Neodiprion lecontei: one gene and its partner. The protein of the gene in region 2 interacts with the protein of the main gene of each other region in a pairwise test. Links are inferred from orthologs where the notes say so. Each region holds a gene or a part of one and is shown on either strand. Other genes may lie near its edges.

Region 1 (4,610 bases), on a different chromosome or scaffold from region 2:
GTCAACTTTACACTCCCCTCGCGGCGAAACTTCATCTCGCGAATATTACGTTTCGAGGAGAGCTCTTAGATATTCCGATTCAATATTGAACAGCGAAGTGCACACGCAGAGCGTCATTGCCTTGTTAATTTTTGCCGCAGTTCACACGAGTTCTTTGACCGCCACTTACGAATCAGGTATTCCAGAATTTAAATGACTGAATAAAAAAATGAAAAAGAAACACGGAAACGAAACCAACAGGTCTTTACCTAATCTCACGCGAAATTAAACGCGAGAGCGTCAGAGATAGCAATCGTCTAACACGCGTGGCGAAATGCCACAACTTAAATTTTTACACTAAATTTGACTGTATTTATTCAACTTCGTTAATTGCAAATTCGATAACAGAGTGTCGTCGGTTTGAAAAAAGAAGAGGCTGAAAATAGGAAGAACACATCATTTCAAACAAATCTGCTTCGTGGTAAGATGCCTAAAACATTAAAAGATATATACACTGTTCAATCAAATTAATATAAAAGGCATACGTAAGAAATCCACTAGCGATTTTTTATTCATTTTTTTTTTTTTGTTTATTTCAAGAAATTTTTTTATTCGCGAGCACATTCGTATTGCCGACTCAATTAATGGATATTACAATACAAACAAAAAAAAAAAGTAAACGTAGATAGAATAAAAAATTAGGGGATGTTCGCAAGGTAGTCCTTGACATTGGACGGATGGAGTCTCCTGAATCCATTGGCGTCACAAATGCCGACTTCAATATTGTCCGCGGTCATTTGCCCCTCAAATCCTTCCTTCAAAGTCAGAATAGCGGTATGAACGGCGTCGTCGAGCTCCAGATCTTCGCTGTATCTCTTCTCCAGGAATGTTTTACCGTTGATGTGATTCTTTCCCATCGCGGTTGCCTTCCAGGCGTAATAAGCACCCGACGGATCGCACTGGAACAGGTACGGCTTGTCGTTGTCCCAGCCGCAGATCAGCAGAGAAACACCGAACGGACGTACACCTCTGCACAGACATTATTTAATCAGTTCCAAAATGTGACTATGCATGTGTTACGTACTCCGCACTATTTCACAGTTCTATTTCACTCATACATCGACTTTCATCCCTCCTACCTAATAGTCGCTCCATTTTGCCAAACAATACAAGCCTTGCACACCCTGTACACACCCGATTACCGCTTCTTATTCCCGGAACCTTGATCCTACACACCCCGCTTTTTGCACACACCCATACTTTGTTTTATTCATTTCTCGATGCAATCCTGGTCCGTCTTTCATACGATATTCTGACTTTACCTTTCGAATCGGACACATGTTCGATAAATCATAAGGCATATTCCAACATCAGCACACCAGACTCGTTCATTTAAATCCCTCACCTAAACTTTCCGGTTGTTCTTAATCATAAAAGTGAAGCGGAACCTCGTCTATTCTGTGCTACTCGAAAATAGATAACGCGTAAATCATTACACGTGGTTCCTTTTAAATCTTTGTGAAGCAATTTTCTTCGACTTGTCTTATGCCCTTCGATTGACAAATGTCAAACAATGAATCTATTATGGAAATTTCCAACGAGAACCATTTTACGACAAACTCTTTCAGATTTCAACAATTCTTTCCATAAATATACTTTTCTCACACATCTGCTTGCTAAAACCTTGTATCTAAATTTGGTAATGTCTACTTTTCATGGTTTATAACGTTGATACCAAACATCAAGTCAAAAACAGCATATAAAATTCATTCAAAACCGTTTAAATTGCATGAGGTCATAGTAAATATCAGCTGGAAATTATAGTCAAGTTTCGGCTAATTATATGAAATCATGAAAACTCTGATCTTACCCTGACTGCGTGTACTCCTGCATGAGCATCGCTACTCGTTGAACGAGTTGCGCAGTTGGAATTGGTTCCTGGTACACTAGCAAGTACTGCTGGGCGATTTTGCGAGCTTGCTTCACAAGTAGACGATAGTCAGGCCCCATTCCACTATATATCATCCCAATATGCTTGGTAACCATTTCAACCTTGTTAACACTGTGTTCGTCATAGAGTATCGATTTGTGCTTGTTTTCAGTGGCAAGAACAACTCCGTTGGATGCCTTGATGCCAACCGAAGGCGCCCCAGCTGATACTGCAGCCAATGCATACTCGATCTGCACCAGCTTGCCCGACGGGCTGTAAGTATAAAATAAAAATGTAAAATTTTGAAATGATGGTGAAGAATAATGAGGTTTTATAGTCGACGCAATCAAATTTGAGCCTTAAACGATGTAGAGTAACAATGACAGGACAAAAAGTGGAGATTCTTTGATCAAAACATGGGATGCAATAAAGCTCACTCCAAGTTTCCATGGAGATTGAGACAGAAATTTGAAACAAGTTTGATATTGCTTAGGTGAGAATAAAGTTTCAGACTCGTTTGACACGAAACTTTTTCGATTCTTGACGTGGTTTTTAGGTTAGGACCGAGTTGACGGACTTTCAAACTGCTGGCTAAGATAAAATTTTGAATATTTTTCCAGAAACGGTTAGACTGATTGATTGAAGGTCGCAAGAATACAGGAAATACGTTAAATTCCCTGTTCTTACCTGAACGTAGTCAGCGAAAAACTGTACCGCTCCGAAGCCATGATTACCTTGCAACAATACACTAACCTGAAGCTCGAACGGCTGAAACTGGAGAGTTTCGACTTTCAAGTTAACGATCTCGAACGTAGAATCCAAGATGGCGACACGAATCGCGGCACACTCGCGCTCTCGCGCCTCTCGCGGTTGACTTCAGATGAAACGCCATCAGGATCGTTAAACCGGCTAAGCACGGCTAAGCACACGCTGAGGACTAAGGTCGGCTATTGCTCAAATAAATTATCCAGGGTAAGTTATTATTGAATAAATACCGCGATAAATACTCGATTAGAAGAATAAATAACAGCTCATCTCACTCCGAGTAACGAAATACCGGAATACGATTTGTTTTCAGGGTGATCCTGGATCTTCCAGCAATGTAAGTCTGCTATGCTTGGTTAGGTTCTTCGTTCAATGTTCATTCGCACCTTAGAGCATATACTACTGGAGGTAGCTTTGCGTGTACAGAAAGTCTAGCCGAGGAGTGAGTGAGAGAGAAAACGAGAGGTATATTTTCGTTATAATTGGTTTCTCTCTCGCTCAACACGCGATTGGCCAATACGTAGTCCAAACATTACCCTGATTAGAATCGTGCGAGCTCTGAACGATTGTGAAATTAAACCTTAAAAGAGCACATCAGCACATTTCTTTTATTTCATCTATCTCTCGTATTGCCGTCAAGCATCAATCGAGCCAGAAATCACGTCCCACCAATTTTTAATATCTTGTGAACTATGCATCGACTCCAGAAATGATTAAACGATGCATTCGATTTGTTCTGACATTGCAGGCTTAATATGGTTCGAGGTGCTCGCGGCGGCATGATAAGAGGTGGTCGAGGAGGAATGGGGCGTGGAATGGGATTTCCTAGGAAACAGTTCCTGCCCAGACATCCCTTTGATTACACCCTTTGCGAGGCTGCGTTTCCTCGTGTCAAGGCAGCTGCGGATGAGGCTGACTTTACTACGGCACTTCTGAAGAAAAATTCAGATATGTGTCCGACAGCGAAAGAGCAGAATTCCATCTTGAACCTCGTTACGAAGCTACAAGGAGTTCTGGATAATCTAATCGTTGCACCTGGAACCTTCGAAGCTTGTGTGGGTATACAGCAAATTTAAAATGGCTGTAAATACAGTTAAAGCTATGTTTTTCTTTTTTTTTTCGAGTGAAACGAAAATGAGAAGGAACATTGATGGATTCGTTTCATTTACAGCAACTCGAGGAAGTCAGACAAGTGGGGAGCTTCAAAAAAGGGACAATGATCAAGGGTCACAATGTAGCAGACATCGTTGTTATCCTCAAAACATTACCTACAAAAACAGCGGTTGAAGCGCTGGGCACGAAAGTAAACACAGACTTGAAGGCGGGCAATCCTAAAGAGGCGTTTAAGCTGACTCAAACGGAACGTGGATTTGATCTTTCAACTAATGAGGCCACTGTTCGTGTCCTCATCACTACTTTGCATCAAAACTTACGTAAATTGGAATCTGAGCAGCATCTTGACGTTAAAATCTGCCAAGGTATTTACCGACATTGTGTTGCACCCGGATCGTTTGACTTTTTGATAAAATTTCACAAGAAAAAATTCAGATAGTTACCAAAGCTTAAAAACCTATTCAAGTTTTATTTTCAATTCGCAAAATAGTATCAACCTTGTTTCAACATGTTTCAATTTTTTTTTTTTTTTTACAGGGCACCTAGCAGCTATCAGACACTCTCGATGGTTCGAAGAAAATGCCCATCACTCGAGTATCAAAGTACTGATCAGATTGCTGAGAGACTTGAGGACCAGATTCGAGGGTTTCGAACCCCTGTCACCATGGATGCTAGATCTTCTGGCACATAATGCAATCATGAATAATCCCAGCAGACAAGCACTGCCGATAAATCAAGCCTACAAGCGAGTGCTCCAGCTCCTCGCTTCAGGGTTATTTTTGCCTGGGTCAGCCGGTGAGTTGTTTCTAATCGACAAAATGTT
Region 2 (4,206 bases):
CTTAACCCAATTTTTACTGTGCATCCATCAGGTCAGATTATTGAGGAAACAGCGCAAAAACATGGCTTTGGAATTGTTCCCGCTTTTGCAGGCCATGGCATTGGCAATTACTTCCATGGACCTCCAGATATTTGTCACTTCAGTAAGTTCGATTCATGACAGTAGGACTAGAGATATAGATTGTGGATTAAAAATTACTAACTTCTGGAATATATTCAGCTTGGGAAAATTTCAACCGAATAAATTGAACAATATCTTATGAATTTTGAACATTGTTATCAATTATATGTATGCATTAATTTTCCTACCTCTTAATAATTTCAACTTTCAATTTTTCCAGAAAACGACGAACCTGGAAAGATGCAGACTGGAATGACATTCACAATTGAACCTGTACTGACACAAGGTGGGCCTGACGTAGAAATCCTGGAGGATGGCTGGACGGCAGTGACCACAGACAATGCACGTACTGCTCAAGCGGAGCACACCATTCTGATTACTGATACAGGCAGTGAAATTCTGACTCAATAAATATATCAGAGTATGTAAATAGTATTAAATTCAAATACATCATGTACAGACGCGAACCATATAAATAAATCAAATTTTACGTTTTATTTTATTACTGATATAAAAGAAGAATCAATTTCACGGAGCTGCGCTAATAGTTCAATTCTGTGCTAGAACATTTGAAAACACATTCAACACTATTATCACATTCACCGCAGTTTTATGCAATTATTTGTATTCCCTCATATTCTGCATCATGTTTATCCAATCATGTGAGCAAGCTCCCAGTTGCTTTCTAGTGTCAGTGGTCCCCTAATCTCTATTCCTTCTTTACTTATGATTCCAATTTGGTACTGTAACACAGATGAAATTCAGATGCTTTATACCCAATTTTCAGTTCACTTTTAAACTATACTGTGGAAATTTTCATGCTTGTTCAGGAGGATTTACTGACCTTTGGAAATGATCTGGCATCTCTGTAAAAGAGAACCTGCATGGCTTTGGTCAAAATATCTATAGCTTCTTCTTTATTCAAATCTGGCTTAGACTCTAGAGCCTTTCTTAACAGAGGTGTAGCCATGTAAGCTCCGTAACCAGTTGCAATCACAGGATCAATGTAAGCTGTTCCGAGCTTGTCTACCGTTCCCATGAAACTGGGTGAATAGGTGTTTTATTAGCAACCCTCAAATAAACACGTGAAATTCAAGGGGGAATAATGAAATTTGAAGGTCTTAGACGATTGGCATTTGCCGAATTATTAGCTGTAGCATGTACAACCAAAATTGGCGTATCAATGTTCAGGGTTGATAAGTTTACTCACGGCTGTCCATATTCCAGTCCAGCGATGATAAAATTGTTCCAAAACGGATCAAATTTTGAGCGCCTATTGTACATTACTCTAGTCAACCAACAGTGCAGTGATTTAGGTTTCAAGGAGAATCCATCATCTAGGCATTCTTCTTCAAGTCTAGAATAATTGTTGGTAATACCGAGTCTTTAACAATTGTTTATTCAATTATAATAGCGTGTGTTAGATTCAATTCAGTGCAGCTTACATCTTTTGTTCAATGATGTTCTTCAGGTACTGAAAATCTGCATAATCTCCACCAGCTCCCAAGATGATGTTGTCATTGACCTTCATTATGCGCTGACAATTTCGGAAGCGGGCCAATGACCCGTACGACCCGAGCACATCAGCTGCTATCACAACTCCGTCTTTGAATTGAAGTCCAACTACTGAAGTCGCGGTAGTCAATGGTGCCCTATATTGTTGCAAAGAATTGACACTCGTACAATTTGATTCTGAATTAGACAAGGGAACGACTCATTTCCGTGTCATGACAAGCGGGTTTTTTTTTTTGGCAAGTTCTAGACGTTGCGGTTTAATGAATTTTACCGGGGCTTCAAGGAAAAATCATCAGGTACAACGATTGATGATAGTGAAACTTGGGACGTTTGTTTTGCATTGAAATTCAAAGTGTATGATATAACGGTAGAACAATATTTGACAGAGCAAGTATAGGTTACGTACCGGACGACGGACGAAAGAATAATTAGATGGAGTATAGACTTACTGTGATCGTTGTGAACCGTAAATGTCTGGGACCAAAGTATTGGCTGACAAATCATACGAAGCACTATGAAACGAGTCATTTTGCGCTGCCAAAAACGGAGAATAACGATTAGCTTCGCCTAGAAACGCCATGTTTTGACTGACTTGTGCTTTCAGTGTGTTCTGCGCAATCATCGCACGCAGCTGACCAGTTCCGTATGATCACGAACACGTCTTACATACAGGTCTTGCAACTCTGGTGCTGGGGGTAGGCTAGGAGCACCTAGGAGTGACTCAGATATTGAATCAATTTGTAGCTTACGGTTTCGGCACTACGTCGCTACTATCTAGACCGTGTTCGTAAATTGACTGACAGTACTCAAAATTCCCTAGAACAGCGTCAGAGCTATTCACGAACTTGGAAGCGCAAAAGAGATAAAAGATTGCTGACAATACTGTCAGTCAATTTTCGAACACGGCCCTAGTAGGGCTGAGTTACAGAACCTCAAATTTCGTTATTTTTGGCCGTTGTCGCAAACCGCTGAATGGTGAGGTTGCCCATTTTCTTTAATATTGCATTTTTTTCATATCATTACATTCGTTTTCATAGTATTAGTATCTGATATCCGCAATTTCGGATATCAATACAGTTATTTATGCTACATGTGGGATAAGTAGCAAATAATCGGACAGTCATGTTGTTGCGACATGAGCGTAAGGCTTATGGGACGTTCGTATGAAGACGCGTGTGGTAGATGTCGCTACGAGCCGTCGGGCGAGTTGCGACAACCACACGAGTCTTCATATGAACGTCTCATAAACCTTACAGCGAATGTCGTAATCACGAATGAGATATTTGCTACTTATCCCACGCGTAGAATACAATATTTTTTACAAAAACTGATCTGGAAGTCGAATTTGAGAGGAATATATTAATTTTAAAACTTAAATTACTATAGCGGCATCAGATGGCGTTTGAATAGTTTCTAGTAAGGTGAAAAAGATAGAGGCCGTGTTCGAAAATTGACTGACAGTACTGTCAGCAATCTTTTATCTCTTTTGCGCTGCCGAGTTCATGGACAGCTCTGTCTCTGCCCTAGGGAATTTTTAGTACTGGCAGTCAATTTACAAACACGGCCAGAGTGAGTTTAATACAGACTGTACTCGTGTGGTTATATTTCTATAGTAGTATAGTTTCGGTGGAATCTGTGCAGTTATCTGATACTTAACCGAACATGTGCGTTTATGAAACACATACCTATAGGGTATGTTCCGATATACACTGCGAGCACTGTAAGGTGTGACGTCAATTTAGTATACTGCGAAGCCGTTCCTTTATAGTTAGCTATACTGGTTACTGCTTAAAACGGAACGCAGTGGAGTATACTGTGATCGACATTTTTTGGCGTTACTTTCATTTCATACATAATATTTGTTTCACATTGCAATAAACACAATTTATTCAAATTTTCCATTTTTGTTTTTAACGGCCGGTATTTTTAAATGACAATATTCAATAATAATAATTATCAATAGTGGAAGCTGTTAAAGTTCTGAACGCTGTTGATCACGTGATCAAAGCACTGAGAGCACCTTACCTCGAAAGCACCGGTGTTCACAGTAGAAAAATGGCGACGATTTATGACGTCATATATTTCCCTAGGATACTGCGACTGTATACTGTCCGTCTATAACGGAACGAATTTCTCCCCAGTAAGAGCACTGAACAGTGCTCGCAGTGTATATCGGAACATACCCATAGTCAAGTATGCGATTATTGTGTGTTTCGGAGATAACATACAGCGCTCGAAAAGTCAACTTCCAGAGCAGGTGTTGTCAAAAAGTAATCAATGTGGTTGAGAGGTGTTACCGTTAGTGAGGCACACGGTCTTGTTTCCTATCTATCCGATAGGGGCGCCATTGGCCTGGGGTATGATAGGTATAGATATATACCGATAAGATAACCTGCTCATCGAAGTTTTTGACAGTTCATAACTCAGTGTAAAGTGTGTGTCAAACTGTCTCAAAAGTTGTGAGCCCTCGCTTGATGTTTATGGATTTTATTGACTTAAACATTTGAGGATTCCGTTAAAAAAAAACAATTATCACGCCCGCCATGGAATGCTAGTAAGCATCTCAATCAT

What was found.
Region 1: the proteins of proteasome subunit beta type-4 (region 2) and proteasome subunit alpha type-2 interact in binary tests that used the Drosophila melanogaster proteins (3 or more experiments, as listed by UniProt). The link is inferred for Neodiprion lecontei from reciprocal best matches to the Drosophila melanogaster genes Prosbeta7 and Prosalpha2.

What each region holds. Positions count from the first base shown.
Region 1 is NC_060265.1:26,830,326-26,834,935, forward strand, and holds proteasome subunit alpha type-2, read right to left. Parts: upstream 2,733-4,610; 5' UTR 2,638-2,732; coding exon 2,597-2,637; intron 2,183-2,596; coding exon 1,850-2,182; intron 1,009-1,849; coding exon 678-1,008; 3' UTR 526-677; downstream 1-525. Other genes in the region: interleukin enhancer-binding factor 2, read left to right, coding at 3,010-3,011, 3,423-3,729, 3,846-4,152, 4,325-4,582. UniProt on the Drosophila melanogaster protein: The proteasome is a multicatalytic proteinase complex which is characterized by its ability to cleave peptides with Arg, Phe, Tyr, Leu, and Glu adjacent to the leaving group at neutral or slightly basic pH.
Region 2 is NC_060263.1:14,690,641-14,694,846, reverse strand, and holds proteasome subunit beta type-4, read right to left. Parts: upstream 2,301-4,206; 5' UTR 2,258-2,300; coding exon 2,085-2,257; intron 1,773-2,084; coding exon 1,566-1,772; intron 1,478-1,565; coding exon 1,331-1,477; intron 1,164-1,330; coding exon 965-1,163; intron 864-964; coding exon 771-863; 3' UTR 593-770; downstream 1-592. Other genes in the region: methionine aminopeptidase 1D, mitochondrial, read left to right, coding at 32-142, 341-531. UniProt on the Drosophila melanogaster protein: Non-catalytic component of the proteasome, a multicatalytic proteinase complex which is characterized by its ability to cleave peptides with Arg, Phe, Tyr, Leu, and Glu adjacent to the leaving group at neutral or slightly basic pH.